Nothobranchius furzeri: one gene and its partners. The protein of the gene in region 1 purifies or fractionates together with the protein of each later gene. This does not show direct contact. Links are inferred from orthologs where the notes say so. Each region holds a gene or a part of one and is shown in the gene's direction. Other genes may lie near its edges.

Region 1 (8,056 bases):
TACTACAGCCTCGCTTCGGAGTCAGCCCGGCTGCTTCGGAAATGGGAACAGGCAGCCTCCTGCTAATCTCAGGCAGGAGACAGGAGAGGCTGGGCGCCCGCTCAAGGTTCTTATGCCCCCCCCTTCAACCTGCAAAATAAAGTACAGAATTTTAAATGTACTTTCTGATTAAAGAAGCAGAAACTGCTTGGATGATCTGTTAGTAACCACAGCTTTCCATTTTGTCCAGCTATGATTGACATCGAAGCACAGTGACAAAACTAAAGTTCAGAGTCGAAATGGCCGAATCTATTAACATGAGGCTGAGGCCTTTCTCTGGAGCTAGCCCTGAAGTCACGTGGCTCTGATGTTCTTCTTCTTCGCATATATCGCATCTGATGTAAAATAACAAATAAAAGAAACCTTTCACTACATGTACCTAAATGTGCTATGTGAAAGCAAATAATGTGAACAGAGTCCAGGTGAAAGAAATGGATGCAGGAAACTACTGGAAAAATTTTGCAAAAAGAACAAAATTAACAAAACCCTATAATATATGTAAGGGAAAATAAAATCTTCTGAGCAAAAATGTTATCAAAACAGAAGGGCTAAATAATCTGTTGCCCATAACTGGCAAAAATCAAAATAAAGGAGATCATAATAGAAATGGCAAAAAGGAATCAGCTGTAAAGATGTAATGCAGAAATGTATATCTATGAATATATCTTTAAGAGAAGTAATAATTTAAGAAAAAGAAACACTAAACACTAAAATGTAAATCAGTGATGTTAGTAATCAAACCTATATGTGAATATACCCCATAAGGAATCAGAGATTAGTTAATTAAAAAAAATGGAATTTCTATAAACACAACAGTTTGTTGAATACTCCCCTTCCATAACATTATCTTCCATCATAGTCATTTTCTTATCTAATTTACATTTTAAATAATTGTTAATGTACAGGGCAACGCCACCACCCCTTTTATTTATTCTATTTACAAAATGAAGTTCATACCCTTCTATTTGTACTTCAGTCATCCCTTCATCATAAAGCCAAGTCTCAGTAATGGCAATGACTTTGAATTAACTTTTAAATTTACCTAAATAATCCTTTATTGTTGACATCTTGGAAACTAAACTTCTACTGTTTATGTGTATGATTGATAATGAATCATTGTTAATTATCCCACTATTTAGAGGATCTTCTGCATAATAATTACTATTTATATTTAACTCAAAAAAACTTTCATCTATTTTACTGTGAAGTTCATATATTTTCTCATGGGAATCCATTTATTCTTTATGAATTCATTTGTACTTCCATATCCATAGTTAAACTGATTCCACTATCCATTATTTAGCCAGTGCTACACAATAAATCATCTTTTACCCTGGAACACTTCTAGATCTTTCAACTCTTTGATCATTTTTGCATTTAGACCTTCTTGCTCTCTACAACACCATTTCTCGTCCATGTGGCTGTGATTTTTTTCTGTTTTCTCAGCACCCTTGCTTCTTTGGCTATTGTTTCATTCTTTTTCGTCAGGTGTTCATTTATGTACACATTTGTACCTTTCAGTTTTTTTTTTGCTTGCCTCAACAACTCATTTCTGTACTTCCTACTGGTAAATCGCACTATGATGACTGGTTTTAAGGCGACTGCCTTTCTTGGAAGGGTATGACAGATTGATATTGCTTCACTTTGGATATTAATGTTCTAACTGTGCAAGAAGCTCAACACTTGTTGTTCTAGTGACTGGAGTTCTTCCTGCGGAGCATCCTCAGTAGTATTTCCATCTCCAGTAACTCTGGCATAAGTCCTATGTCTTGTTTCCAAACCAGTTATCACCAAGTCTTCCCTTCTGGTATACTGCTCCAGTTCATCCACCCTCTGTTCCAATACATGATCTTCTTGTCCCTTTCTGCAAGCTTGAATTTCAGTGTCTTGACCTCGTCCATTAATGATAGTAGTTGATCCTGTTGTACTGTTAGCTTAGACAGCTCGGCTGACATAAAATTAAATGCTTTTTTAAAATTTCCTCCATATCTTCCTCGAGTTTCTCCGTTTTTCTAGGAGGGACCATTGTATTAGGCTTACCTCTCTCTCGGCCCTGGTTGCCGGTGAATCTGGAGCCTGGAGCCCCAGGCTGAGCCTGATGGTTGGATCAGGTGGCTGGTATTGAGGTGATGGTGGAGCCTGGCTGCTGGGCCTGGAGGCTGCTGGGCCTGGAGGTTGCAGGGCCTGGAGTCTGCTGGGCCTGGAGGCTACTGGTGTAGTAGGCAGGCTGCTTTGCCTGGAGGCTGATGGTGGAGCCTGGCTGCTGGGCCTGGAGGCTGCTGGTGGAGCCTGGCTTCTGGGCCTGGAGGCTGATGGTGGAGCCTGGCTGCTAGGCCTGGAGGCTGATGGTGGAGCCTGGCTGCTGGGCCTGGAGGCTGCTGGTGGAGCCAGGCTGCTGGGCCTGGAGGCTGATGGTGGAGCCTGGCTGCTGGACCTGGAGGCTACTGGTATAGCCAGGCTGCTAGGCCTGGAGGCTGATGGTGGAGCCTGGCTGCTGGGCCTGGAGGCTGATGGTGGAGCCTGGCTGCTGGGCCCGGAGGTTGCTGGTGGAGCCTGGCTGCTGGGCCTGGAGGCTGCTGGTGGAGCCTGAACCTGAGCAAAAACAAGACAACGGTCATTGAAAGCTTCTCCGGATCACTAGATGGTTAACCAACCATAGATATAAGCGTCGTGGTCAGCAGAGATAGAGGTAGACCAACAAAGGCTGGAGATTCTCCTTGTTCTCCGCACCGACTGCTGTCCGCCGAAATGCCCAAAAGTGAGTGGGAGCATGTTAACAGGCCGTTAGCATGTGTGTCTTACAACCATTATTAAGAAAACACATAGACGTAGTAGATTAATACAAAAGCATAGCTTATAGCGTATTATATTAACGCAACATGTAATGTTTTATTTAGGCGATACGAGGCTCTGTTGGCTTATATTAGCGATCCAGCTTTCGCTTCATTCAGCTCATTTGACAGTTTATCTTAGTTTCAGCTTACTTCAGCTATTCAACAACTTCAGCAATCAGTTACCAAATTTAGCATAAACTGCTAATTTCACAGTTCAGCTAAATGTAAAGATTAAATTGTTAAACTTGTCCAACTGGAATAACAGGTTTTAAGACATTTTAGCTGTTCAGATTTTTATACGATGTTCACAGATTTCAGTTTTTTGCTATTTAACATTATTTTTCTCTATTCTTCACTTACTTTTTGTGCTTTATTTGCTTGTTTGTGCTTTTTGCTTCTACATCTTTCAAGACATTCAGCTCATTTTGACAGTTTTGCTTTGTTTCAGCTTCAGTTCAGCTGTTCAGCAGCTTCAGCTTACAGTTTCAGCTCTCCAGCATTCAAACAGCATTTGTGCAATAAATGCAAATTTTTCTAGTTGAGGCTTGTTTTGTTGCCATAGTTGATGGCCAATAAAGTTTTCTACAAAAGGAGCTTGGACGCCTACTGCGCATGCGCATTACCAGGAGTCCTTGGCTGCTTGCTCTACTCTAGGTTACTTAGCCGGTCAGAGACACAAACACACAAAATGCAAAGCTGGACGCAGCTTTATCGCTCGGTGACCACGGTAAGGATGATAATTATTACTACGTTAGGCTCCACGTGTTGTCATTAAAGATGTCAGGCTGGTTTCAGTCGCTAAGGGTGTGTGAGTGGTATTTTCGTACTCGAGCTATGCTAGCTGACGTGCTAGCTGCTCAGTTAACTGAAGTTGTATGTAGAACATTTATCTCAGTATATTCCGCTGGGAAAGTTCATATCACACCGCTGTTGTACTACGTGGCTTAATGTGCCATTTGATACGTTCTCAATTTGCACATTGTGTGTGAGTCAAATCTAGTGTAGGTGGAAATCACAAATGTCAATGAAATCAGGACTTTTGTAATACTTTTCGATCACCATGTGCAATTCATTAACAGTAGAGTATGTCTCTGTGATGTATCACGTTTAAATCTAACTGTATGTTTAACATTTTGTGTTTGTTTCACGTCTGACTTGTTTCCTCACTGTTTTAGCATGCTAAGACTGCTAGCTCCGGTTCCCATGTAGCCTACATGAAGGACCTATTATCTGTCCTTGTTATTCTTTATAGTATTCGCTTTTCAGAAGCATTTTTGCTTTAGGAACTAAACAGTGCTGTCGTTGGTAGAGCCCTCTGCATGTTTAGCAAGGGTAAATATTCTGTAAAGAAAACATTTGAAGGTTTAAACAGGGAATTAAAACCCACATAGTTTATCAGTTTGTTTTGGTGTTTCATCAATAATGCTTGTGTGATTTGCTTCCCAGCTGAACCACCAGCTCCCCTACAAGCTGCACGGAGCTGCTACTGTGTCCGTCCGAACTTTTGCTGACAAAGCAGCAAGTAAGAAATCCTGGAAGTTTGATCATTGAAACCATGAAATCTTGTTTCATTCTATTAGTTTAAATATAACACAAGTCCTCATCAAAGTTTTTTGTCCCAGACAGACAAGGCACTTTCACTGTGATGTTCAGACCCACTTTAAATGACTGTTGTTTCTAAAACACACAAACTTCAGACAGATGACCATGGGATCATGCTTTCCCTACTAATATGAATTCATATTAAAGCTAAAGTACATTCAGTAGATATAATTTTGAGATTTCAAACCAGGCATTTACAACATGTTCTTTGGCAGTCGGCCTCCTGGCAGCAGCTGCTCATGAAATGGTTCAGATGGTCAGTGAGAGGGTGATTGTTGGTCTGTATGAAGCAGGGTTGGGGCCCAACACATGGAACCACATACCGGTACATCAGGCCGTGATTAGGGCCCAGATCTGATATTCCAGGTCATTTTGGGACGTTTCTAAGTGACGTAAGGCCTGGGGTCATAATTGTTTTATTTTCTGTTTCCCCTAGAATAAAATGCCACATTTTTTTAAACATAAAGTCCTAACAATGAGAGTATTGTTGCCATCTCATTGCAATAAGTAAAGTCTCTAGTAGGGATGTCCCGATACAACTTTCACTTTCAATACGATACTGATATTGCAGCCTTCAGTATTGACCGATACCGATATCAATCTGATACGATATCAGCACAAATCATACAGACTTTGACCTGTGTCATAGTGTAGAATGTATGAAAGGCTGGATCAAGTGATGGTACTCAATCGGAGAGCCAATAACAGTATTTTTTTCTTAACCATTGGTTGCAAAAATGTGAACTTTAACAGACTGCTTATATCGGAGATTTTTGATGCCGCGCGACATAATCCGATAGTGTTTATGGGCCGCTATCAAATTACTTCCGATATCGATATCATAATGGGACTTCCCTAGTCTCTGGAGTCCCTCTGTCAGACTGCTTCTCTCGTTTCTTTAGAAGTTTTCCCCGACAGCGGAGTACATCTTAGCCCCAGATCCATCCATGTTGTCGTAAATCCCAGGGTGTGTGTTCTGTGTTTCTGCTGTTGTGAGTGAGGTTTTGGTGTGTTTCCTTTGTAGTTGATGCAGACGTCACAGTGGTCGGCTCTGGTCCCGGAGGATATGTCGCTGCCATCAAAGCTGCACAGCTTGGTTTTAAGGTGAGTTTCCTCTGTGACACAAACACGGGAGTACCCGACCTGCTGCTACTTCTATCCAGTGAACCTTGAATCCGCAGAAACTGGTTTCTAAAATGAATACGGGTTTTCTAACAATTGGATTTCCTTTGGCAGACAGTTTGTGTTGAGAAAAATGCAACACTGGGTGGGACGTGTCTAAATGTTGGCTGCATCCCCTCAAAGGTAAAGAGCTGGTGTCTGTGTTGATCAGGAAGTTAAGCTTGTTTAGACTCATTTAGTTAGACTTTATGAAGTAAAATCCTTGGATTGATTAAATGTTTTGTTTTCTGTAGGCTCTGCTCAACAACTCCTACTTGTACCACATGGCACACGGCAAGGACTTTGAAAGCAGAGGCATCGAAAGTAAGACGGGACGATGTTCTTGACACACGTTTTACATTTTATGAGGCTTTGCAGGCTCGACCGGGTTCCACAGCAGTTTTCAGACACACGTGAAAACTGAACAGGCGCAACCCAACTGGCTACAGAGCTCTCAAACCTCACAGACCAAGTGAGACGTGCATCTTCCTGAATACTTCTGCAGCCAAGTGATGGCTCGTTCATACGGGGCACTAGGGGGCCGTCCATCCTGAGCTGAAGGCAGAAGAAGTTAAAGCACTGCATCACACTCCGATGCTTTACTTTTGTGTTTGTTCATTTTAAAGGCTCAAGCATGGAAGTCTAAAAACTCAAAAGATAAATGAACCAAACCAGAACTGGTTTCTATTGAACTATAATGTACAATACAGTGTATGCTCCCCAAGTGGTGAGCTTTGTGCTCTATGTTCTTTGTCCCCCAGTAGGTGGTGCCGGTGTAAAACCCACGCCGGTAGCCCAGAGAACACGAGACTCTGTAAAGCACGGGTGTCAAACTCAGGCCCTCGGGCCAAAGTTGACCTGTGATCTGTTTTTATTTGGCCTGTGAGATCAAATATATATTAAAACCATTTTGCCACAAAGACCACAAATCTCATTGTGCTTTGCAGCGTTAGCGAGGCAGTAGAAGCGCCCCCTCCTTTCTGTTTACGATCATTAGCATCCGTGCTACTAGAATCCGCGTCTGCAGCGATGCCATCCTCGGCCTCAAACAAGCTGATAATACTCCTCAAATCGCCGAGTTTACTCTGCAGTTTGCTGACTTTTAAGTCCAGAAATTGAGATTTCAGCCGCTCCGCAGTCCGTCCACAGCTGACATGGAAAGCTCACCAACCCGGCCTTAGCTGCTCAGGTTCTCTATGTTCAGCAGCACTTATCTCCGTGAGCAACTGTTGTCTGTGAGGAAGATGAACAAAAGTCTCACTGATGAACTCCTTCTTAGCTTAGAGTCCAACCCCACAGGTGCAGGTCTGGCTGGAACAGGTGAGCATCGCAGTAAATCAGAGTGGATTAGTTAGTTTTCATGCACTTTTTCTGCTCCAAAGCATGAAAGTTAATGAGATATTTTCATTTAAGAGAATTGCTATTTTTTTGGTTTTTGTTGTTGGCCTGTAAAAAAAGATGAAGCCTACTCTAAAACAGGAAGTGGAAAGGCCACAGATAGAAGAGTAGAATAGAAACAGAACAGCAGCAATAACATTCATTACAGGAGCAGAAAAGGAGAGTAAAAAATAAGAATAAAGAGTAAACAACAAGAAAACAGAAACTAAAAGATTCAAAAGGTAAAAATGTAATAAATGCTGAATAAACACATTTGAAGGAATAAAAAGTTTTAAAAAATCGAGACATAAGTAACGACTGATGTGTTTAAGATTCACTTGCTCGTGTGTAATTTAGTCGTACCAGATTCAGTGTTTATGTAAAAATAAGTTTGTTTCCAAATGAGACGGTTCAACAACACACATCTGTAGATGAAGGAACATGTGCACATTTCTCGTCACTTTTCAATAAATGTTGAGTTTGGCCCGCTACTTCGTCCCAGTTTCTCGTTTAAGCCCAGTGTGAATTTGAGTTTGACACCCCTGCAGAGGATGCACACAGGAGGTAGCAGAGGTGGAACTGCTGGCTCAGCCGTGGAGTAACTGCTGATGTCCTCCTCTCAGTCTCAGGCATATCGTTGAACTTGGAGAAGATGATGGCTCAGAAGAGCGGCGCCGTGAAAGCTCTGACCGGAGGAATTGCTCATCTGTTCAAACAGAACAAAGTCAGACTCTGGTTTGATTTTATGTAACGCATCAATAATAAACAACACTATCAGGTGTTTTGATTGACATACCTCCTGTGATGGGGTTCTCATCAGGTCACCCATGTGAACGGCTTTGGAAGGTTAACCGGAAAGAACCAGGTCACCGCCACGGCGGCCGACGGCTCTGAGCAGGTCATCAACACTAAGAACATCCTCCTTGCCACTGGCTCTGAGGTCACTCCCTTCCCTGGCATCCAGGTACCACGTCTTCTGAATCATTTGTGTCAGAGGCTTCAGCTCCCGCTTTATAAAAACGGGAAACATTATGTCTCACCAG
Region 2 (7,589 bases), on another chromosome or scaffold:
TTTTATACTTGTTAAAAAAATCTAATTTCTTTATTAAATGAGGTTTTTCTTTTATCCCCATGCTTTTAGACATCGGTGCAGGTTCCCTCTCCTGCTGCTGGTGTGATTGAGGAGCTCCTGGTTCCAGATGGGGGGAAGGTTGAAGGAGGAACACCACTTTTCAAGCTCAAAAAAGGAGGTGTGTTGGGCAGGATTTTTAACAAAAACATAAGATTTTAGACAAAAGTTTAAAATCTGTATTACCATACCTGTTTCTGTAGCTGGTGCTCCCAAAGCTACAGAAGCTCCTAAATCTGAGGCTCCTGCTGCAGCCTCTCCTCCACCTTCTGCTGCTCCAACACCACCCCCACCTCCCCCCTCAGCTGTGGGCCCCATTCCCACCACCATGCCCCCTGTGCCACCTGTGCCCGCACATGCTATGGACACCAAACCAGGTTAGTAGTCATCCACCAGACAGCTTGGGTCTCGTGAAAACTGATTAGCTTGACATCTGTGTTCTTGACCTCTAACGTTAACAATTAATCATTGTTTGGGATTCTGTAAACAGTGTTTCGTTGCTGTTTCAGCCACACTGAGAGCTTTTTTAAATCTCTCTTTCCCAAAGTGTCAGCCATTAAGCCCACTGCTGCTCAGACTGCACCATCAGCTCAGGCAGAAGGAGGGGCTAAATCAGCGAGGACAGAGAGCAGGGTAAATTTAATGTTTAAACTGATTTAATGACACGTTCATGCAAAAAAAAAGTTGTGAAATATTTAATGTGGCTAATAACGTGTGTGTTTAGGTTAAGATGAACCGCATGAGACTAAGAATTGCCCAGAGGCTGAAGGAAGCCCAGAACACCTGTGCCATGCTCACTACGTTTAATGAGGTCGACATGAGGTGGGAAATTCTCACTTAACTGACCTACTTGCCTACCTATTTAAACCCTCCGTGCTGCTTTTTTTAATACAATAATATGCTGATTTCACCATAAACACATAAGTGGAACACACACACTGAGTGTAAAGAGTCTAATTCTTTTAGAAAATGTATGTATTTTTGCTGCAAACAAGATTCCAGGACGAGTACCACTTCCAGCTCCTGTTAAAAGGCTTAACAACACTCCCACAAATGGTTATAGATTGGAATCTTCCCAATAGGAAAAGCTTTTTGAAACCCAATATCCTCTTAAACACTGGAATGTAAATATTTGGTCATAATTCCATCTAAAACAAAGATAAGATTTGTTAAAACAGGTTTTATTAATTTACAAGGAAATGTTATTGTGTGCACTTGCCACCCTGTGCTGAAGAGGACACTTTGAGGATTTCTTTTCCCTGCAAATGTGTGGTGTCGGCTTTCAGCTATTCAGGGTTTTCTGTGCATCCTAATTGGATTGACATTGACGGTCTGGAGGAAGACTTCCCAGTCTAGGGCTCATCTGGAGCCGAAGGAACTGGTCAGAACAGGAGGCCGGAGCATCTGCGGAGGCCCACAGAGACCCGCGCTCTGAGTGGAAGAGCTGCCTCAACCGATATGGGCTTTTATGACAGCCCAATAAGATTTACAGGCTCTAGAAAGTGAAGATTTTTATCGCTTCTTCTCTCCTTTCTCGGAGAGTCTGTGTCTTGGGAGGGGCTAATTCCGTTAGCGGAGAAACCCTAGAACTTCAACAGGGTTAGAGACAGGAAAACAAACAATTAAAAAGAGAGATACAAGTGAAGAATGAGCAATACTGAAACAATTAGCAACCGTTTTTAATAGCTCTATTCCCCCACTATAGCTGTAGAGCCGTGATTTCATAGTTAACAAAAATATTTTTCTCAAGAGAATAATTTCAGCTCGTTGTTTCTTCCTGTTTAAAGCGTTTGAAAAGTGTTGATGGATTTCTGTGTTTTCCTGCTTTTATTCCTGCAGCAACATCACGGAGATGAGAAAGGTGTACAAGGATGCTTTCCTAAAAAAACACAACATCAAGCTGGGCTTCATGTCCGCATTCGTAAAGGCTGCTGCGTACGCTCTGACAGACCAACCTGCTGTCAATGCCGGTAAAGATTTTACCTCTGGAAACCTTCAACATGTTGGTGTTAGTTTTGGAACGTCTGCATGTGTGGCGTCAAGTCACGTCAAGTGTGTGTGTAGTGAAGAAAGTTTCAATGTATTATTTTTTAATTTCAGCAACCTCAAAGCCATCTCTAACTTATTTACTTCCTCTAGACCAGTGGTTCCTAACCTGGGGGTCCCCACCCCCACAAGGGGGCGCCAAAGCCTCTCAGTGGGTCGCCAGGGCCTCTCCACTTTAAGGGGTTAAAACGTCATTTATTACTTGTTTATAGCCCACATTTTGCTCACATTTTTTTTAATGAGTGAAAAGTTTACTGATATTAAGACAGGAAATAATTAGTACAGAAAAAGTAACACACTTTTAAGAACATTTTGCTCAGCTCACTGTTTTATTTTCAAGTGTCAAAAGTTCATTAAAGATAGGACTGGTTGATTAATCACAGCCTTTACAGTAAATAATCTAGTATAAACAGTATAGGGCTGCAGCTATCGAATATTTTTGTAATCGAGTACTCTATCGAATATTTTTTTCGATTAATCGAGTACTCTAATAAATTACCCTTTTGTATTTGTAAACCATTTTATCAAATAGCATGTTATAAAATATGAAAGACCTCTTAAAATGAGCAAGCTATTGCCAGTTATTCTTCAAGTTTTATTCAAAATTAGTTTTCAAAACTTCAGCACTTCAACTTTACTTCACAGTAAACAAATGGCTGTGCAAAAAATAAGTACACAACCTGAGCCGATTTTCCCCTCGTGCGAGAATCTGCTAGCCTGCAAGCCAGACAAAAACTAGGAGGATAACTGTTGAAGTAGCGCTGCGAGCGGCTGCGGCCCAAACAGAACCAGAACCGCTCACGGTGCATGCGCAAACAGCTCGCCGGCTGTTCCCTATTAACACACGTTCGTTTTAATTTCAACACTTTTTTCTCACACAATAACAAGGATTGTCGAGAAAGCGTGTTTGCCGTGGTTTTGTCAAATTATACTGATCACAAAACATTTATTTACTTTCTTTCGTTTTCCTCTCATAAATACCCATGTCCTCCTGCAGCAATCCCGAAGGACAACAAACATCAATAACACAATAAAAAGTCCGACGTTTTGTGTAAAAACTGCTATTTTTAGCACATTTTAAGTCCGACGTGTTGCTACCAGACGTACGGTGTGAGCTGAAACTGACTGCTACAAACGAAAAAGTCGCACAGTGTCCACAGAATATATAGAAAAACAGGCTAAAATGCATTATCTTGTAGAGGCTCCGAGTCCGCTTGCAGAAGAGACATTTACAGGTGCTGCAGCATGGAGGATGTGGTGTTGTGGTAGGCTTAATCCATTTTACAGTATTTACACTGGAGTACGTTTTCCGCCTAACGACGTGAAAAATGGTCCCACATCTTGACATTTTCTGTCTTTTTCGCACTCCACCGGGGTCCACGTTGTCCGCCATGGCTTAAGAGAAAGTTAAGTTACATTCGCTACTCGCGTGTGCAGTCCAGTGGGCATGTGCGTCACTTATTTCAGTCTGGGTGAAACATGACCACGGGCGACTGCAAAGCCACAAATTAATTAAATATGAATTAAACGAATCCTCGAGGCAGAGAATTTGACTCGAGGATTTTTTGTACTCGAATTATTCGAGGTACTCGAGGAATCGTTTCAGCCCTAAAACAGTAATATACACATTTAAGTACATTTTGCTCAGTGTATTTTTTATGTGTCAAACGTTTATTGGAAGAGAGAATGGGAGGGGGTCGTCAACAATTTTACTGGTAAAAAACGGGTCCCTTGGGAAAAAGGTTGGGAACCACTGCTCTAGACCACTCTGACCTATTTAGGTAGACCACAGTGAAGCTAGGGTGGTGCATGCTGATGCCTTTTAAAGATCTGAAATGCCCTGTGGGTTCACTTACCACAACTCTTAGCTTTGCATGTGACAGAAAGCGGTTCACAAGGAAAGAACTTGATCTTGCCAGAAATATAGTGGTGATTAATAGTCTAATCTGGAGAAGTTAAATCATAATAATCCTATTTTCTGTGTTTGTAGTGATTGATGATACAACCAAAGAGATTGTGTACAGGGACTATGTCGACATCAGTGTGGCTGTAGCTACACCGAAGGTAAGAAAAGTGGATTTCACTGAAAGGAAAAACAAAGAGCTAGAACGTTCGGCTATGTTCTCTTTTTCCAGGGTTTGGTGGTTCCCGTCATAAGAAATGTAGAGGGGATGAACTTTACTGACATCGAGAAAGCAATCAATTTGTTGGGAGAAAAGGTGATTATCGTATTAAAATTGTTTAAATTGTACACGTTTGCATGAAAAGTGATGAAATGTTTGCATAACTGGGTCTGGATGTTGTTTTTAGGCTCGTAAGAATGAGCTGGCTGTTGAAGACATGGACGGAGGCACCTTCACCATCAGCAACGGTGGTGTGTTTGGGTCCTTGTTCGGCACACCGATAATCAACCCTCCACAGTCTGCTATTCTGGGCATGCACGGGATCTTTGACAGACCGGTTGCAGTCGGAGGCAAGGTTTGTATCCTCTGGTCATTTGCTGAAACGTGTCTGCTTTTAAACAACTGTAGGTTTTACTCCATTATTTATGAGCAACCAGGCTACATTCTCAAGTAAACGGGGGGGGGTCACATTTAAATGTTGCATATGTTTACAAATTTAGCAAATAATTATTGGTCATTTTTCAGTGATTACTTTTCTTCCTCCTAGGTGGAGATCCGTCCCATGATGTATGTTGCGCTAACATACGACCACCGTCTGATCGATGGAAGAGAGGCTGTCACCTTCCTACGTAAGATCAAGTCGGTGGTGGAGGACCCCAGAGTGCTCCTCCTTGACATGTGAACCCTCGTCTGCTCCGGGCCCAACCAAACCACTTCCCACACCAACAGCGGCTGTGTAAACACTCAATGAACATTACCATAACTACAGTTGATGTATCGTCTTATTGGTTAACTAGGAAAATCTATTTCTGGCAACAGTTGGGTTGTGCAATGGACATTTGTAAGACTGGCAAGGATTAAAGGTTTGGTCCTGTTCTGGGTCTCTCTGAGGTTTCTGGTGCTGGTCGTTGGATCAAACAAGAAATTCTATAACTTATTTGCATTTGTCATTTTCTACGCGAAGCTTGAGAAAAGAAACACCTGTTGTGAGATGACACGCAATTAAAGTTTCAGCGATATAATTTTATGATTCTGGTTGAGAAAAGAACAATGAGCACATATTGGGTTGGAAAACTAGAAATGCTGTTTTAAAGTCTCCAGAGTGAAGAAATCCTCAGATTTTATGCCATCTGGTTTGTGGAGGATGAGGAAAACTTCTTGCTGTGTGAGTTAAAGTATTCAAGAGAGAAAAGCAACGTTTTAAACAATAAAAGCTTCATTACCCAACTGTAGTTTTTGTTTGGATGCTTATTTTTTCACGTTAGTAAATTTTTTTTAGCAAGTCTACAAAAAAAAAACTAGTTGAGCATCTACATAAACACACAGAAGGTTTAGAAGTGCTTAGCAAATCTACCTGTATTTACAGAGCAACTCATTAAAATAAGATGAACATATTTTCTTTAGTTTGAGGCAGATTCTTGCTTCAGGAACAAATCTAAAGCTGGTAAAATTACCTTATTTTTTATTGCATGAATTGAATAAATCCATGATTCATGTTAGATTTATGGATGTGTCTTTACTTTTATTCAACTTTCGTAGTTTTCTATGGAAAGCACAAAGTGCAGCTGAGGTCTGCTACATTCCTTCTGGCAGGTCAGATGCTTCCAGCAGAGAGTTTATCTGCAAGTCCCAACTTGTGCTAGCAAGACAGAGCCTTCCATGAGACGCTGCTGAAGAATGGGTGACACTTGATGTCACTCACACCTCCACCTCCTGAACCCAAGCGGTAGCCAGCATCAAACTGGAGCAGCTGCAAGGTGAAAAGGTTCAGAATTGAAGCATGGTTACAGACCCCTGTTTGGATACTGATGGCTAACCTCGGTGAGCAGAGATGCAGCTGCAGCACTCAGGTGGTCGGGGATCACCAGCTGAGTATGGGAGTGGATTCCTGCAGGATGGAGCTGCCACAGCGGCTGAAGCAATACAAATATACATATATATTCCCTTTACTGTAGTTTGCCGTGATACAGAATATAAAACCTACTGGCCTAAATATCTTACCATTCCTGTAAGAAGTTCAAAGAGCAAAGCTCCAAGACTCCACCAATCACAAGCTTCTGTGATCTTGGACACGCCCCCAATTTCTGCCACAAAAAGAAATTAATCATGTTTCTGCTCAAAAAGCATTGAAAGTTTAATGTTCAATGCTCTTTATGTGGCGGTCGTGAGCTAATTGCATCTCACCACTAGGTGGCACTAGGGTGTCACTACCTGGAGCACAGTACATCTTTTCCATGGCTTTGCTGCTGATCTCTGACTGAACTTCGCTCCATTGGCTGAAAAACGTCAAACACACTTTTCCTGTGAAAACATGTCAAGTTAAACTCAAAAACACTCGTATTTGTAAAATCCTTGAACATTTATTTGCTTCTCTCACCGTTGCTGGTGAGCAGAATGTTTCTAGGGTTGAGATCCCGACACAGGATGCCTTGCTGGTGCAGACTCTCCAGAGCTAGCAGGATCTGTGCCCCCCACACACGCACCTCTGCTTCTGGAAGCCCCCAGTAGGTCTGCATGGAATTATCTCCAGGTCGGGGTGTCTTTGCAGGAAACTGCGGCAGATGACACCAGCCATCCACCTCAATAATCTGATCATCTGCATTCCTATCTGATCCTTCTGGTTTAAGGGAACCCACTGAATCCTTTCTGCTCCCGTGGGATGTGTCTTGAAGAGAGCCAGAGGAGAACCAGCCTACGTATGATCTCTCTTTTAGAGTCGACTTCTTGTCTCCGGGACTCAGAACTTCGCAGGCCACTTCTATGCTCTCTTTTCTTCTATTGGAACTTGTTTCGCTTTTATAAATGACCCCAGTGTGGCCCAGTGAGACTCCTGAGAGCGCCCCCTGTGTAGTTGCACTCGAGGGGTGAAGGTAAGCAGAGGAAGTCCAAGATCTTTCTGAGGTGGTGTCTGTATCCGTGTGGTCAGAAAACACAGCTCTGTCTGTGCTCCTGATAACTATCATCCCATTTTTTTCCTCAACTGTTGGACTGCTGCAGTCCTGCTTTGAGTCTGTATTTATTTCTGCAGAGGTACAATTTAAAAAAGGTCCCTTATGGGAGCCATTAGTATCCCATGATGCCCTGCCATGGATTTGGGTTTGGCAATGGAGAGGAAGGTGTAAAATGGCAGGAGAGGAACCCAGAACCTCATTTTGACCTGCAGGAGATCCTGTTTTATTGAGAGGTGTCTGATTTGTAGTTGCTTCAACAATTTTTGATAAGTTATTGTCCAACGCTGCATAGGGGTTCGTTTTCTCACAGCTGTGTGATGGATCTGCAGCTTTCCAAGCTGCTTCAAAGTCCGAACTGCACTCTATCAGCCCCATTCCCACGTTCTTTTTATGGAATTCTGACATGACATCA
Region 3 (8,261 bases), on another chromosome or scaffold:
AACCCACCTCCTTCCACTAAAATCCTGTACTTTACTGGTAAATCTCCGACACCCTCCATGATCCATGTATCCAAGAGGTGAGTCTGGTCGTCTCAGACACACCAGCACCGCGTTCTTAACGTCAGAATTCAGATTTGTAAGATGTTAGAGGAGAGGGATTTTCCTCTGCTCAGGCTTGGTGAGGTGACGCTCAGAGATGTGAAGGCAGCTGTTGATCGAGAGGGAAACTACAGATATCATTTCAAAGCTCTAGACCCGGAGTTTGGCACGGTGAAAGAGGAGGTAAGGAACAGCTGGGGTTTTTCAGCCACAGCAGGGTTTCACTGGACTCTCAGTGGGATGAGTCTGGTTCTGTGCTGCAGCAGATCTAAACATTCACACTATGTGAAGTCATTGCTTTGTTTATCAAGGTGTTTCTGGATGGAGCAGTCGTTCCAGGCTGGGAGGGAAAAATCGTGGCCTGGCTGGAAGAGGATGGTGGCGAGGAGAGGTAACAGGATGTCACGTCTGAGGGTTTCCTTTAATTATGTTAGCTCTGGTTTAAAACAAGCTTGTTTTCTCTTTCTGTTTTAGGCCGCTGTAGGTGTACAGCCATGATGTGTCATCGATCAGCTGTTCATCACCCAGAGACAACCACCAGAGCTGTTCGCCCTGCTGATGCCTGAACTCAGGCCGTAACTGTAGCAGTAGTGTTGTGGTTCAGGCTGTTAGCTCCGGGAGGTGAGACAGAAAGTCTCTCTGTGTTTGGTGTCGTGCACCAGCGAGGCCTCGTAGACCCCAGATTCAGTCGTGTAGTCTGGTACAATGGTGCATCAGAATCAGCAGCATTAGCCACTTATTCATTAAAGATTAGGAACAGATGTTCTGATAGAGGTGTTAGTGCGAGGTTGAGTCTACACGAGTGCATGACCTGAATCCAGACACTTTTCTGTTTATAGTTTTAGTTTAATGTAGGCTGAAAAGAGCATCTGCTGTCAACAGAACTAAGGTCTAAATGTATTTTAGGCTCGTCTGTGTTTTGATGTCATTGTAAAAACAAAAGCATCACTTCTTTTGGATTAACTTCAGGGTTTGTTTTATGATTTTATCCACAATTTTATTATTTGAAGAAATGAAAATATTTGTTATTTGTTCAAATAGAGATTATTAGTTGAAACCTTCATTTGGTTTTTGTTGGGTGCAATTTTTAATGTTTTGAGGAGCCTTGTTTTGTAATCAGCTTATTTATGGTTTGTATTTGAGTCTTTATGCATGGGCGTGGCACCCTTGGGGGATGTGGGGGATTCAACACCCACTTTTCTTATTGAGATCGTTCAACACCCACACTTTTCCAGCCGTTTTGCCCACCTCCACACACCAGTCTGGTTTCTCTACTTCGCACTCACTCTGCCTCATCTCATTCTCCCCCTCCCTCTCCTGTTTCTCCTTGAAACCCGACATTGGCAGAAACCTTCTAACAATGGTAGTTTTTGCATCTTCACTGTTCCCCGCTTCAGGATATGAGCCGACATGAATGATCGCCTGTTAAATTTGTTTTTGAGGTGGTGACACTTTGAGAATTTTACTGTGGCCGTGCTCAGGACGCATCTGTCTGGAGCGCATCAACGATCAGAGCTCTGCACCTCTCAGGTCAAAATAATCCCTGGAGAGGCCACATGAATAATGTAATATAAGTAGAACCCGGATCGTTATTGGCTCCCCCTGAAGCTCCCTAGCTCACCCGTAATGCGAATCCTCTGTATAGCACAAGTTTGTCGCGTGAGTTGCCAGATCCTAGCAGACAGTTGCTGGAACGGTTGTTTCAAAATAAGATAGTTCCTGGATCTTGTTCCGGCAAGACCCGGCTCAAATTAAGCACTGATTGGTGAATATTTAGCATGTTTTTGGAAGGGCTTTGTTACTGTGAATTATGCGCGGACCCGTTACTGGATTGGGGTTGAGTTTCAATTTACAGCTGATGACATCCACAGACAACATCCCCCACACTTTTGAAAAGCTTGCAATGCGCCTGTCTTTGTGAGTTGAAATGTTTGAAAAAACATCAGATCTTTTCCTGTCTTTTTCCAGTTTAGGTCAACGTGAGCCAACACAAAGAGAGGAGATGTGATGAGAATGTTTTTAATGCCGCAACTGCCTGTACTGTAAATATAGAGTTTACGAGATGGTGTTTTTGCACTTATGTTGTTAAAAGATTTTTTCTTTAGCAAAACATGGATACTGTCTGATTAAAACATGTTGAAGAAATCGTTTTGAGGAATGTTAGATATTTTGAAATAAAACAGATTTTTTTTCATAGCAGTCTTATGTTTCTGGTTTCCATCGCTGTATTTTCATCAGTAGATATATTTTAGATTTGTCTGATTAAATGATATTGATATTGCTTATTTGGTCACAACTCAATATGTTTTCTAATGTGTTTAATAAATAAGATGTTTTACAGTCGTAGACCTTGCTTTGTTTTGGTTATAAAAACCAGGTCAGTTATTAAAATTAAAGTTTTAATGTAAAGAATTCTCAAAATGAACTGGAAGTAGTAGAGTTGCTGGGTTATGCTTGTTTTTACTGCCCCCGTGTGGCAATTGAGGATATTACACCGTTTGACCTTGTAGATCTAAAATATTTTAAAGTTTAAATAAACAAAATTTGTAATCTGCTTTAATATTTCACAACTAGCACTGTTTGTTTATAATCATGGCTTCGTGTGAAATGTATCTTGTTTCATTTGAAGTGTCTTTTTTTACGACACTTGATTTGAAGCAGCGACAGGAGTGCCGTAAAGCGTGTGTTTTTGACAGGAGGAGGTCATTAGAAAGTGAGGAGTAAAGTCGGAGCGCCGGGTTTTTACTGCCAGCTCGTCTCTAATGCCGCTGTGAGGCAGGTAAATTATTTATCAGACAGGTGTTCGATTCCACACGCAGCAGAATGCTTCGTTTAATGCTGCGGCTCCGGCCGTGTCCCGGTGTCTCCCGTTCCCGTGTCCTACCGGCTGGGCCTGCTGCCTTCGGCTCTCTCTCCGTGTCCGGAACCGGGTGTCTCAGGCGTCTTCACAGCGGACACCGAACAGTGGCCCTGGGCTTCAGCCACAGAACGACCTTTGTGCGGTGTCCCCGCCCGGCTGGCGGCGGCCAAAGCAAGCGTCTCTACAGTCTGCCGCCGCACCAGAAGGTAACGTTAACCGCTGTCCGGTTCTGGCACCGGGTCAGAGCCGGTACCGATAGATTTAAAACACCTGTACACCTAACAGCAGCACTTAGCTCCATAACGAGGCGGTGGCGGTGTAATGTGTCCATTAGTAGCTAAAGGATGAAACATCAGATGTTTCAAACTCTAAATAATTCTAAACATGTGCTGCAGCAGCAGACCTGCTGCTGTTTCCATCAGAACATCTCCACCAGCAGATAGATCCCGCTGGTGTTTATATCCAGGAAGGATGTCTGAAATCTGCTCTTTAGGGGCGGTGATGATGCTCACACTAATAATAGAAAAACAAGGACAAACTAAAGATTCTCAGCATTAAAACTCTGTGAATCAGATCCAGACGCTATATTCATAAATATTCATGAGATTTGACCATAAACTACTTTAAAATGGCCTGAAAGGAAAGAAACAACCAAAAGGAGAAGCTTAAAGAACAGGATGGGTGTTCGCCCAGATGAATAACAGTGATCAGGAGTTATCAATTTCCCTCTGGGATTAATAAAGTATTTTTGAATTTGAATTGAATTTGAAACACAGATCTCGTTTATTTATTTATTGTATTACTTACATTTCCTGGTGATTTTACTTTGAACATGTAGACAATGTTTTTACATTTTAGGTTTTAGCCGTTAAACTAAATAAATAACTATTTTCTTATAATTGAAGTAATGAGATTTTGGTTGAATTGGTTGAATGAATGACTGAAAAAACAAAACGTTTCTTTGTCTAAATGCAGGAATCATTTCTTTAACTACTACTTTAACTGTTCTTATTTGTTTTATTACATGTTTATTCTGTTCTTAACAAACACCTATGATGCATGCATTTATTGCAGAAAGATGCTCAGATTGTCGTCAGAATCTACTTTACATTTCACTGTTATTCAAAAAGAATAGATCAGATTTTTATGTTGACGTTTTCAAAAAGCTTCTGTTCACAACAGTTAGACGAGTTGTTTTAAAACAGCTTACTAACAAAAATGAGAACTTTATCAGGTAAAAATGAGATTCTGGTTCTGCTGATATAAGTTTGGGCCAATTTTGATTTATCTCAAGAAGCTGTAATTAGAAAAAGACTTCAACAATCTGCTGAAGCTGAAAACACGATCCATCCACGCTACACATACATTTAAAGGAGTGGGTCCTGGTTGATCCCTGATTTTGTGTTCCTGGATTGTTGCATACTTATTTGGGAACCCTCCGCTGGGAGCTGCTGCTTATCTCTGCTATTGGATGTCTCTTGACCCAGAGCAGTGACCATAAAGTCCACCCAGATGTGAGGAAATCAGGCCTGTGGGTCATTCATTAAGCTGGGATGGGGTGACACTGCAGCTGCGCTCACATCACCTGACATTCGGCTGGATTGGGATCCTCCTGTTATGAAGCGTATTTTTGTTTGTTTTTACCTGGATTTGTTTCCGGCTCATCAGGTGGAGCTTCCGGCGCTCTCGCCTACTATGCAGACCGGGACCATTGCTCGCTGGGAGAAGAAGGAAGGGGAAAAGATCAGTGAGGGCGACCTCATCGCTGAGGTTAGGAGCTCTGTGGATCATAGATAACTGAAATATCATCACGATTTGTTGAGTAAATAAAGTGTGTGTGTGTAGGTGGAGACTGATAAAGCCACTGTAGGGTTCGAGATGCTGGAGGAGTGCTATCTGGCTAAGATCCTGGTTCCTGAAGGCACCAGAGACGTCGTCGTTGGATCAGTCATCTGCATCACCGTCGACAGGTCGGTATCTTTATCATTTACATCGTTTAGATCTATGTGTGGTGAATTAAAGTTATAATATTAATAATAATTAATATGTTTTCATCTGCAGCCCAGATCTAATCACAGCCTTTAAAGATGTAACGTTGGACTCCATCAGATCTGCTGGTGCTACTCCTGCTGCTGCTACCTCTGGTGCTCCTCCTCCATCAGCTGCTGCTGCTCCTCCAGCAGCACCAGGCAGCTCCTACCCCCCCCACATGAAGGTAGGCTGGTTGTGATGGGAGCTCTGGTGGCATAAAAGAGCTGAGGGATTCTTACAGCAGCTTGAATTCCTCGAAAATGAAAGCAGAGACCCCCCCCCCCCCCCCCCCCCCCCACACACACACACGTTTATGACTGTGGATGGATTTGCTTCCATAAAAATAAAAGTTCCACCACATCGACTGGATAGCAGACAGTAACCTCTCTGATGAACCACTTGACTGATTTTAGTGAAACTGTCATCAGAGGGTCGTCTACAACTGATTTACTTTTGGAGTCAGTCCAGTTCAAGATGGCTGCCACTAGACCAAAATGGGTTTTTCCATTCCCGATACCGATGCTGATGTAGAGGTCATGGTTATTTTATGAGCTGCAGATTTTGGGGGCTGATATCTGGATGTTTTCCACCTTCTCAGCCTGCTTAAAGGTCACTGATACCAACAACTGATGCTAGGGCTGGACAATATAACTCGATAGACATGTGGTGCGATAGAAAGAAATGGGTCAATCAAAACGTCGATTTCTTTTTTTTCATGTAGCCTGAGCCTATCAGGTTGCTTAATACTAGACTCCCAACCAATCAACAACACCGATCCAGGCACGCTCTGTCACCAGGCCCTCCCCTCTCAAGCCCAGACAGACAGCATGTGGTTCTTGAGTCTCACTGAGAGAGAGTCGTAAGCAGCATCCTTCATATCAGAAGGCTCCAAAAGCAATACTGCTCACACACATCTTTGCTTAATGAGAAAATTTGTAGTTTTTTCCGGTATTCTCTGAAAATATCCATCAAATGTTGTTTAACACAATGCCCAGTTGTTGAAAAACATTTGCGGCTTCATAACATATCACCATAAAAATCTGGTCTAAAATACACGGTAGCGGGTCTAAGTCTCTGGGCGATGCCATATTAGATGCCTCGTTTACTTCTACGGCAGCCTGTGAGGACAAAACGTATTTATTGATTTGTAACAAACGGTTGCAAAACGTTCACCATTCATAAATGTTGTTTTACACATTTACTTTTTCACTCGTTACCAGTGATGAAAGGGGGTCTGATGTGCTTGTCATTCTGCTGGAAGTTATGCTCCTAGGCATGGATGTAGTTTTGGGCTGGGGACATGTCCCCCCACCTTTTCCAAAGTCACTTTTTGTCATCTGCACTTTTTACTGTCCAAAAACAATATAACGCTATAGGGAGCCTAAGTCTCCTCCCTTTCCGGTCGGCTCACGGGTCCCCGGAAGAACGAAAAAATGACTGCAAGTCAACGGGGCTAAAAACGCTATTTTCTAATCTGCCTTGCCTTACGCCCTGGATCACACACACACACACGTTGTACTGCAGTTTAAATGAAAAGTAATGATGGGTGTTTCTGAAACACTGTTTCAACTATGCCAGTCACCTACTTTGAGATTCATCAGCTTGTAAAAGTTTATAATTATTGTAGCGTAGGCAAATCGATGATTTTTATTTGTTATGACCAGGAAGCTAAATAGACACTGGGTGAGCACTAGGACCAAGCGGAAAACAACTGCTTGTGGTGAAGCCTGTTTCCTATTAGAACCGTCCATAAGCTCAGCTATTGGCTCTGCTGATACTTGCTAACATGTGATTGGCCGTTCCTGCCACCTGTGTACTTGACAGTTCTGCATTCTTGACATTGCATAAAAGAGCCTCTAGACTAGTTTTATACATATGTTTTGTATACTTACTATAAAGACACCACCACCCCACCACCCGTCCTCATGCCAGTTGTGTCCCCTACATCTAAAGTCAAAATTACGTCCATGCTTCCAGGAATTTTTGACCCTAAAGGCCATCCATTAGTAAGGTTTTACTCAAACACATAAATACTGCTTACTTGCAATGATTTAGGTATGTACTTCCCCCTATTGCCAGGGAAAATACACACAGTCACTTTAAATAAAGAAAGACGGCACAGACTTCTCTGCGTATCTTTTGCCCCACCCACACGCTCGGAGATTTACGAGTTCCAGAGAAATGTGTTTGAACATGTGAAAAGCCAAATAGCTACAGTTGGAGGAGCCAAAGTGAGTGACACACACACACACACACACACACAGATGGGCAGCTCGCTTTCGATCGCTGTGACGTGTGTGCGCGGAATGCCAGGAGCAATTATTACATTAACGTGAGGGACGAGTAAATATCGGTGCGGACAAATCGGTGAAAGAGGAAGAAATAAATAAACAACGCTACTGAAAAGTGAGGCAGTGAATGACAACAGGATGGTAGGAAGTCAGATTTGTAAATATCACTGTATGTGGGGGATAATGTGCTGCAGCTGAACCTTGATTTGAAGAAAATCAGGATTTGAACTGAAATATTGATTTTTATTTTTTTTCTGGAAAAACTCACACAATTCATTCTTTTCCTGTAACCATCCAGTCCTGGTAAAATAAAGATGTTTAAATAAAATACTGAATTTAACTACGTTTTCTGTTCTTTATTTAAAGTAGTTAATTAAGGAATAGCATAAAGTGGCCAGGGCAGCATTAAAATATATTTTCTACATGTAAAAAATATTTATGAGTAATTATCGATCATTATGAATATTCCTTTATCTGTATGCGTTTTTGAATATCATTCAGCCCTAGCTGATGCTCAACGTTTCTGAACCTGAACTGGTTTTTGAACTCTGAAATTTTCCAACTCCTGCATCTTCAAATTGTGCAAAATCAAACTTAATAAAACAGATCAATAAACAGGCCCGGTATTATTAAAAAGCATGTGAACTGAAAGAAAAATCAGTTGACAGTTATGTTTTAGAGCATTTATTAAGCCAATGCATTTAAAGAGTCTAAATACATAAATAAAAATCAGCAGCGGCACTGGGCTGCCCGCAGATGTGCCGGACTTTAAATCAGCTCATTGTCAGCCTGATTTATCGCTTTATCCCAAGTCGCCACAACAATTCAGTCACTAAGGTAAAATCTAATGTGCTTGTAGATCATCGTCATTCCCAACACCGCTCACATGACGTCGCATGTGATGTCACGACTAACTTGGCCTTTACAGACGATCCTAGTTCAGGACACACTGGAGAGTGATGAGCTGGTCCTCTAATGAA
Region 4 (6,965 bases), on another chromosome or scaffold:
CTCCTCCACATTTTACCACGGTGTACGGTGTTACCATGAGTAATTAAAAATTATAATGCAAGACTCAAGTGGCATTAACAAACAGTTGGGTTGGACCTTGACCCTTCAGAAACTGAATCTCAGATACTGTCTAAGGCACGGGTGTCAAATATGCGGCCCGCGGGCCGGATCCGGCCCGCAAGCGGGTTAAATCCGGCCCGCGAGACGGTTGTGTAAACTTTATTTTCATACTTTACAATGTAGAGTGAAAATAAACTTGTCATTGTGAGCAAGTTTTCTCTGTAATGAGTATAAATAAAACAAAGCTGCGCTCAAGGCTCACACAAGAACTTGAATCACATCCTGAAGTTGGCTGCCACTCAGGATGACTGGCATCCTGAGTGGCAATATTGATGTGCTGGTGAAAGCTAAAAGATGTAAAGTAAAATGAGTCAAATATTCTTTAAGTGCTGCATGGAACTGATCTTGCCATGTGATCTGTAAGCTCTTTGAATCACTAAGGAATGTTTATTTGTTGATTTTTTTATTTTCTATTTTTTCAAATTTTCAAGTACACTTCAGGTGTTGTACTTGTACTACACTGTCCTCAGGCTACAGCCTCGTTTTATATTGATTGTATTAAAACAAAGAAAACAATCTGAAGTTTTTTTTTTTTTTTTTTTAATTTACCGGTCCGGCCCACTTGGGACTAGATATCCCTCAATGTGGCCCCTGAGCTCAAATGAGTTTGACACCCCTGGTCTAAGGAGCTTTGAAAGAAAAGCGTCTGGACTTCTTTGAGTTGCTTGAAGACGTTTCACCTCTCATCCGAGAGGCTTCTTCAGTTCTAAGGTCAAATGGTGGAGAGTCCCAGATTCAAACCCAGTGGGAGTTTCCCCCCAAAGAGGGAACAAAAGACCCCCTGATGATCTTCTATCCGCACTGTCACATGATGACATGATGATCATAAACTTTATGGAACGCCTCCAAAAGTTTTTTTTTTACTATGTGAAGTGCTTTGAGACGACTTTTGTCGTGATTTGGGGCTATATAAATAAATTTAAGTGAAACTGAAAATGTAACATCTGTTTTACATATTAAATGACTTTTTAAAATTTTCATTTTTGTCTCATAAGTGCACTACATTGTTTTCATGACAGCATTGACAGAGCTATTCAGCAACTGTATACGCTATTACCATAGTACCACCAAAGAATATTGCACGTGCACATGCACTGTGTAATTACAACCTAAGAACGTCCTCAGGTGAGAACTTTTTCTGTTGCAGTTGTGTTTCTGGAGAACGAGCTGATGTACGGCGTTCCTTTCGAGATGTCTGAGGATTCGCAGTCCAAAGACTTCACCATTCCCATCGGCAAGGCAAAAATTGAGAGACAAGGTGAGAGTGATGTCCTCTTTCCTGTGGAGACCAAAAGCTAATTTATTTTCTCAGCGGTTGTAAAAGCAGTGAGCAGGAAAAGTGAAGAAATCTCAGTGAGGCTTCAGGCTCCGAGACCTCTTAGCATCCTCGCTGACTGTCGGTGTTCTTTCACCAGGAAATCACGTCACCTTGGTGTCTCACTCTCGGTTTGTCGGTCACTGCCTGGATGCTGCAGCTGTCCTCGCTAAAGAGGGAATTGAGTGTGAGGTAGACAAACACAGTTGTAAGGTCATCTTCAAGTCACCTCTTCAGCCTGTTAGCGACTTCCTCCATCTCTTGGTTTCAGGTCATCAACCTTCGGACCATTCGCCCAATGGACGTGGAGTCCATTGAGACCAGCGTGATGAAGACCAACCACCTGGTGACGGTGGAGGGAGGCTGGCCTCAGTTTGGAGTCGGAGCTGAGATCTGTGCCAGAGTCATGGAAGGTAGTGAACCGATACACTATTTGTAGTATTAGTATACATTATCAGTAATAGAAGTAGTAGTAGAAGAGCGCGGACCGTTTTGCTGCCGTGCATTGTTTAGGCATTGTGTGCTGGGCGCTTCCCTTTTGTGCATCTGTGTGTGTGTGTGGAGGGGGGGGGGGTCTCGTATGCATGGCACCGCGCCACGCTGAGCCTATGTAGGGGAAACACTGCGATGTGAAACCTCAACTGGTGACTCGTTGGATTTAGAACCCATTTGCAGATTTGGAGACCCTTGTACACAGGGTTCCTGTGGGGACTTAAAACGCCCTAAAAGCATTTAATTTAGGAATTTGGAAAGAATATCTTTAAAAGTCTTTAAAAAGTCTTGAATTTTGACAACTGGGCCTTAAAATTTGTATGTAAATATTGTATTTCTCCTCTTATGTTTCGTTTCTCAACCAAAATCATTTTTATTAAATAATGTAGCATATATAAGGAGTGGCGGAACCAATCATTGAGAACGCAGCTCAGCCTCGTGTCAAAGTATTCTAAACGCGTGATGTATTCAGCTCCCGCGCTACAGCAGCGATACTAAATGGTTAACATAACACAGACCTCCAGCAGAGGAGGAATGCAGAAAATCTCAGCAGACCAGTAGAAAGGCTGACTGACGCCTAGGGCTGGGTGCCAGAACGCTGGACCTCTTTGGGACTGAGTGAAAACATTCGGTAGGTACCGATATCAGAACAAAGTATAAAGCTGTCCCAATGTGCAACCGTGGGTCACATGACTGATCCCAAGTCACATTACAAGTGGTGGAGACGCGTCTCCTTTTAACAGCGCTTCTCTGCAGTTCGAAAAAGCTAAAAATCCATTCTAAATGCAACACCAGTGAGATTTGTGCTGCAAAAATTAGGAATAGTAGCAATTTAACAAATCACATCATCGTGCAGGGCATCATGGAGAGCTTTGACCGCAAAAAAGTAAACCCTTGTCCATCACCTTCCAAAACACAGGAGGAGTCTGAGGATGGAGGCTGATAAAAGCAGAAACGGGACATAAAACCAACTTAGCTGCTGTTTAGCAGCATTATAAATGCAGTTCAGCAGGTTGTTATTACTGCTGTTACTGACATGAAGTCAAGCAAGAGTAAAGACTGTTCTATAGGCAAGGCAAGGCAGCTTTATTTGTAGAGCACATTTCAAACACAGAGGCAACTCAATGTGCTATACAATTACCAGGACATGATATGAAAACAACATAAAAACACAAATTAAAATACACACAGATAGACTTACAGTTTAGAGCTAAAGGAGAAAACAAAGCTACATCACAGATTACAGAGGAGACGATGCCGCATAAGAAACAATTCATGTAAAGGCTGATGAGTACATTAGGGTTTTTAGTTTTGTTTTAAACAACACTAGGGTTGCGGCACATCTGAGGTCATGGGGAAGCTGATTGCGTATTTGTGCAGCATAGTAACTAAATGCATCTCCACCATGTTTGGTTCTGACCCGAGGTTCTACCAGCTGATTGTTTCCAAGGGATCTCAGAGCCCTATTGGGTGTATATACAGGAATGAGATGGGACGTGTATTCTGGTCCCATGCCATTGAGTGATTCATAAACTAGTGGGAGCACTTTAAAATCTATTCTGTGGTTTACTGGTAACCAGTGTAGGGATCTAAGAACAGGAGTGATGTGCCCCGTTCTCTTAGTTCTTGTTAAGACTCTAGCAGCAGCATTCTGAACAAGCTGCTGTTGTTTCACAGCTTTTTTGGAAGACCAGTTAGGAGACCATTGCAATAGTCCAGCCGACTAGAAATAAAAGCATGAATAAGTTTCTCTTAGTCTGGTCTGGACATGAGACCTCTGACTCTTGATGTTAGATGGTGATAAAACACTGATTTAGTTATGGCCTTAATATGTCCAGAGAAGCTCGGGTCTGAGTCAATAATAACACATTGAAGCGTGATTAATGATTTACATTATCACTACATATTAATTATGACCAATAAGATGTGATATTCCATACAAATATGAAATATCAACTTGACTGATCTTTAATGTTTAATCAGAAGATTCTAGGGTTCTTTGCTTCTTCAGGGACCATAAACACACTTTGTATTACTTCAGACAGAGTCAGTATATAGTTTATAAAATGAATTATTTTACTAAACTAATGATTATACATGACAAGATATGAATAATGAGATGTGGTGTGATGGAAGCTAGATGTTCAGCAACCGTTCTTTGTATCTGAGAGAAGTTGTCTGGGTTGTAAAAGAATTTGTTGTTAGAGGGTTGTTTGTTTATAAACTAGAGAGTTGTTTGTTTATAAACTAGAGAGTTGTTTGTTTAAGCTCATCAGACGTAATCTGTGCCAGTCTACACACCCTTGGTGTGGAGGTTCTCGTTCGATCCAGGGGGTCGTGCTGGTCACTGCTGATGGAGTGGACCTCTGATATCAGGAACCTGTAGACAGCTCTGATAGGACCCGTCCAGTCTGAAGCCAGGAAGGTGGAATGCTCATTTGTGTCCAAGGTGGATGTCTGAGAGTTGAAGTAGCTTGCTGCGTCGCAGAAAGGTTTTGACTAAAGGTCAAAGGAGATTGTTTCAAAAAATGCTTCTTTCCCGATTTGGTCGAATTGGGAGTCAGCTGGAAACTGAATCTTAATCGGGAAGTAATTCTTGTTTATTAAACCACTTTGGCTAAACTTGGCCAAAACTCATTACAATCAGAATTTGACACGTTTCTGAGTATTTACCAACATCCCTCAGAAAGCCATGCCCTCCTCAGATACACAAGGTTTTAACCTTAATGAGTATCTTATTGTAATGGTGTATGAGTGTAAACAATGATTAACTTGTTAAATCAACTCATACTGATTTGTGATATAAATGGATCGTTGTCAGAACATTTTATTGATTTAAGCACAGATTATTCAAACATTTGATGTAAACATCTTGTTTATTCATCACATATGATTATTTAAGCTTATAACTGTAAAGTCATGGAGTCTTCGAGTAGGTTTGATCTGTATTTAAGATGAGGAATCAGCAGTCTGGCTTCTACGCAGAGAGTGCAGGACCTTGGGTGAAGCGAGGAACAAAAAGTTGGCAAAGGGTTGTTTTGGGTCCCGACTGATGGTGCAGCCTTGAATGTATATGAAAGTTTATGTTGTGTCAATTAGATGGTGAAAAATAGACCCTTTTGTACGTTCCAGCCTTTACTGTTTGCACTGTAGCTTTCTCTGTTGTTGCTTAACTTTTTTGGAAATAAAGTATAATATAAATAAATGTAATACAAACGATAAAAATAAAACCATTAAGTAGTTTGTTATCCTCTCATAAAATAAAAAAATTGATTTCAACAAAAGTATTGTTAAGGTACTGCCATCAAAAACCAGGTTAAAGTAGTAGCATCTAGAAATATCTACTGGCACCCAGCCCTACTGACGCGGTCATGTTAAACCTTTGTTTTACGTTACCTAGCTACTCTTTCTGTGAAAGCTCAAACAGCTCTGCTGCTGTTCTCTACCGAGTGCTTTGGCAAAATGTAATAAAAATAAATTAACACAAGTTCAACGATATTTTTTTGCCGGTAGGGCTTTGAAATAGGTATAACTTTTTATATAAGTGGTCTTGAAAAGGTCTTAAAAACTCTTGACTTTAACTTGATGAAACCTGTAGGAGCCCTGTGTATACACACACACACACACACACACACACACACACACACACGTGCTTCAAAATATATTGCGATATAGCCTTTAAGCCATATGGCCCATTCCTAATGGATTATCACTAAGGAGCGCCAGTGTTTACAAACACTAACTCCTCTAAACGCATCAATCAGTGACGTATGCGGAACACACTTCTTCGCTGATTAGATGAGACTTCTGTTTTTATGATTTATGACAAAACTGCTTAACAAACTGAAAAACAGAAATTGGTCAGCAAATTGTAAACACACCCACTTTCTACTCTTGCTTCGCCCACTAGCCTACCAGCAACCATGACGTCTCATTTTCGGCCCTGGCTCACTGTGCTCAGAACCACGTTTAAGCTGCTACTGAACAGTCAACACCGCCCGCGTGGCTGTTACTGATGGAAAAGCCGTCCAAGCGGACCAGATCAATTTGAGTGGTGCTAAATAAGTCACTGATGTTATCCAGGCTGTAGTCGGAAGAAGTTGTGGTCATGTACTTGCAAACTGTTTGTCAGTTGAGAAAATAAACTTTTCCTTTTTTTTAGGTTCTGCTTTTAACTTCCTGGATGCTCCGGTTACCAGGGTAACGGGTGTCGACATCCCCATGCCTTATGCCAAGATCCTAGAGGATCACAGTCTTCCTCAGGTCAAAGACATCATCTTCTCAGTCAAAAAAACCCTCAACGTGTAAAAACACCTGAACTCTCTGGGTTTTATTCAGATCAGCTGATCTCTCCACTTTTTCCCTTTCAAAATAAATGCTGCTGTGTTCTGTGTGGAAGTTGCTAAGTCAGCAAGTTAAAACCTGTATAAGTCAAAAATGTCTTCACCAGCTGTCTCTTGATGTTTAAATCCAGATTAATGTTCTGAGGTTGTTTTCCTTCAAACATTTCTGCAATTTCGACAGCATCAACAGAAAACGGCTGCTGGGATCCCATTATTTATTGTAACTACAGAAATAAAAGCCTGTTTATCTTTAGGTTTTCTTCCTCTTTGCAGCCTGTTCCTCTTCCTGTCGGTCTAAATAAAGATAAAAACTGTAAACTCTTCTGCTCTTTATTTTGCATCAACAAGTCATAAAGCATCAGTATAATAAAAATCACGAGCCGCTTTAAAAGAACAAATTTAAAAGAAAGATTAGAAAATTATTAAACATTAAGATGATGCAAATAAAAATTTGTGATTAAAAATTATGAAGAAAGGAAAAGGGAAAATGAATAAGAAAGGTAATCAGTGGATCCTGGGAAAGGCAGAATAAGGAAAGGGTAGTGATGAAGGTCACACCAAAAGCTGAACATGTGAGCTTTCAGCTGCTTTTCAAAGGAGACCACTGATATGCTGGTGAAGGTTCTCAGTCATCCAGGTCATGGTAATCTTCAAGACCACTGATAACTCAGAAGAGAAGTTCTGGTTAAACCAAA

Evidence for each region.
Region 2: the proteins of dldh (region 1) and dlst purify together in Homo sapiens (affinity purification with mass spectrometry; 3 studies listed by BioGRID and IntAct, counting the BioPlex papers as one, with this or other methods). This does not show direct contact. The link is inferred for Nothobranchius furzeri from reciprocal best matches to the Homo sapiens genes DLD and DLST.
Region 3: the proteins of dldh (region 1) and dlat purify together in Homo sapiens (affinity purification with mass spectrometry; 4 studies listed by BioGRID and IntAct, counting the BioPlex papers as one, with this or other methods). This does not show direct contact. The link is inferred for Nothobranchius furzeri from reciprocal best matches to the Homo sapiens genes DLD and DLAT.
Region 4: the proteins of dldh (region 1) and pdhb purify together in Homo sapiens (affinity purification with mass spectrometry; 3 studies listed by BioGRID and IntAct, counting the BioPlex papers as one, with this or other methods). This does not show direct contact. The link is inferred for Nothobranchius furzeri from reciprocal best matches to the Homo sapiens genes DLD and PDHB.

What each region holds. Positions count from the first base shown.
Region 1 is NC_091754.1:40,922,383-40,930,438, reverse strand, and holds the start of dldh (dihydrolipoyl dehydrogenase, mitochondrial), read left to right. Parts: upstream 1-3,449; 5' UTR 3,450-3,561; coding exon 3,562-3,600; intron 3,601-4,319; coding exon 4,320-4,395; intron 4,396-5,499; coding exon 5,500-5,579; intron 5,580-5,711; coding exon 5,712-5,780; intron 5,781-5,890; coding exon 5,891-5,960; intron 5,961-7,636; coding exon 7,637-7,737; intron 7,738-7,833; coding exon 7,834-7,977; intron 7,978-8,056. UniProt on the Homo sapiens protein: Lipoamide dehydrogenase is a component of the glycine cleavage system as well as an E3 component of three alpha-ketoacid dehydrogenase complexes (pyruvate-, alpha-ketoglutarate-, and branched-chain amino acid-dehydrogenase complex).
Region 2 is NC_091758.1:32,792,292-32,799,880, forward strand, and holds the end of dlst (dihydrolipoyllysine-residue succinyltransferase component of 2-oxoglutarate dehydrogenase complex, mitochondrial), read left to right. Parts: intron 1-69; coding exon 70-178; intron 179-260; coding exon 261-434; intron 435-604; coding exon 605-690; intron 691-781; coding exon 782-879; intron 880-1,896; coding exon 1,897-2,027; intron 2,028-4,093; coding exon 4,094-4,167; intron 4,168-4,238; coding exon 4,239-4,322; intron 4,323-4,413; coding exon 4,414-4,581; intron 4,582-4,773; coding exon 4,774-4,908; 3' UTR 4,909-5,458; downstream 5,459-7,589. Other genes in the region: rps6kl1 (ribosomal protein S6 kinase-like 1), read right to left, coding at 5,866-5,976, 6,044-6,139, 6,228-6,310, 6,438-6,527, 6,604-7,589. UniProt on the Homo sapiens protein: Dihydrolipoamide succinyltransferase (E2) component of the 2-oxoglutarate dehydrogenase complex. The 2-oxoglutarate dehydrogenase complex catalyzes the overall conversion of 2-oxoglutarate to succinyl-CoA and CO(2).
Region 3 is NC_091750.1:45,047,914-45,056,174, forward strand, and holds the start of dlat (dihydrolipoyllysine-residue acetyltransferase component of pyruvate dehydrogenase complex, mitochondrial), read left to right. Parts: upstream 1-2,774; 5' UTR 2,775-2,922; coding exon 2,923-3,165; intron 3,166-4,627; coding exon 4,628-4,729; intron 4,730-4,804; coding exon 4,805-4,929; intron 4,930-5,020; coding exon 5,021-5,174; intron 5,175-8,261. Other genes in the region: dixdc1b (dixin), read left to right, coding at 1-77, 174-282, 411-490, 574-583.
Region 4 is NC_091743.1:78,887,685-78,894,649, reverse strand, and holds the end of pdhb (pyruvate dehydrogenase E1 component subunit beta, mitochondrial), read left to right. Parts: intron 1-1,267; coding exon 1,268-1,378; intron 1,379-1,535; coding exon 1,536-1,627; intron 1,628-1,706; coding exon 1,707-1,848; intron 1,849-6,089; coding exon 6,090-6,235; 3' UTR 6,236-6,588; downstream 6,589-6,965. UniProt on the Homo sapiens protein: The pyruvate dehydrogenase complex catalyzes the overall conversion of pyruvate to acetyl-CoA and CO(2), and thereby links the glycolytic pathway to the tricarboxylic cycle.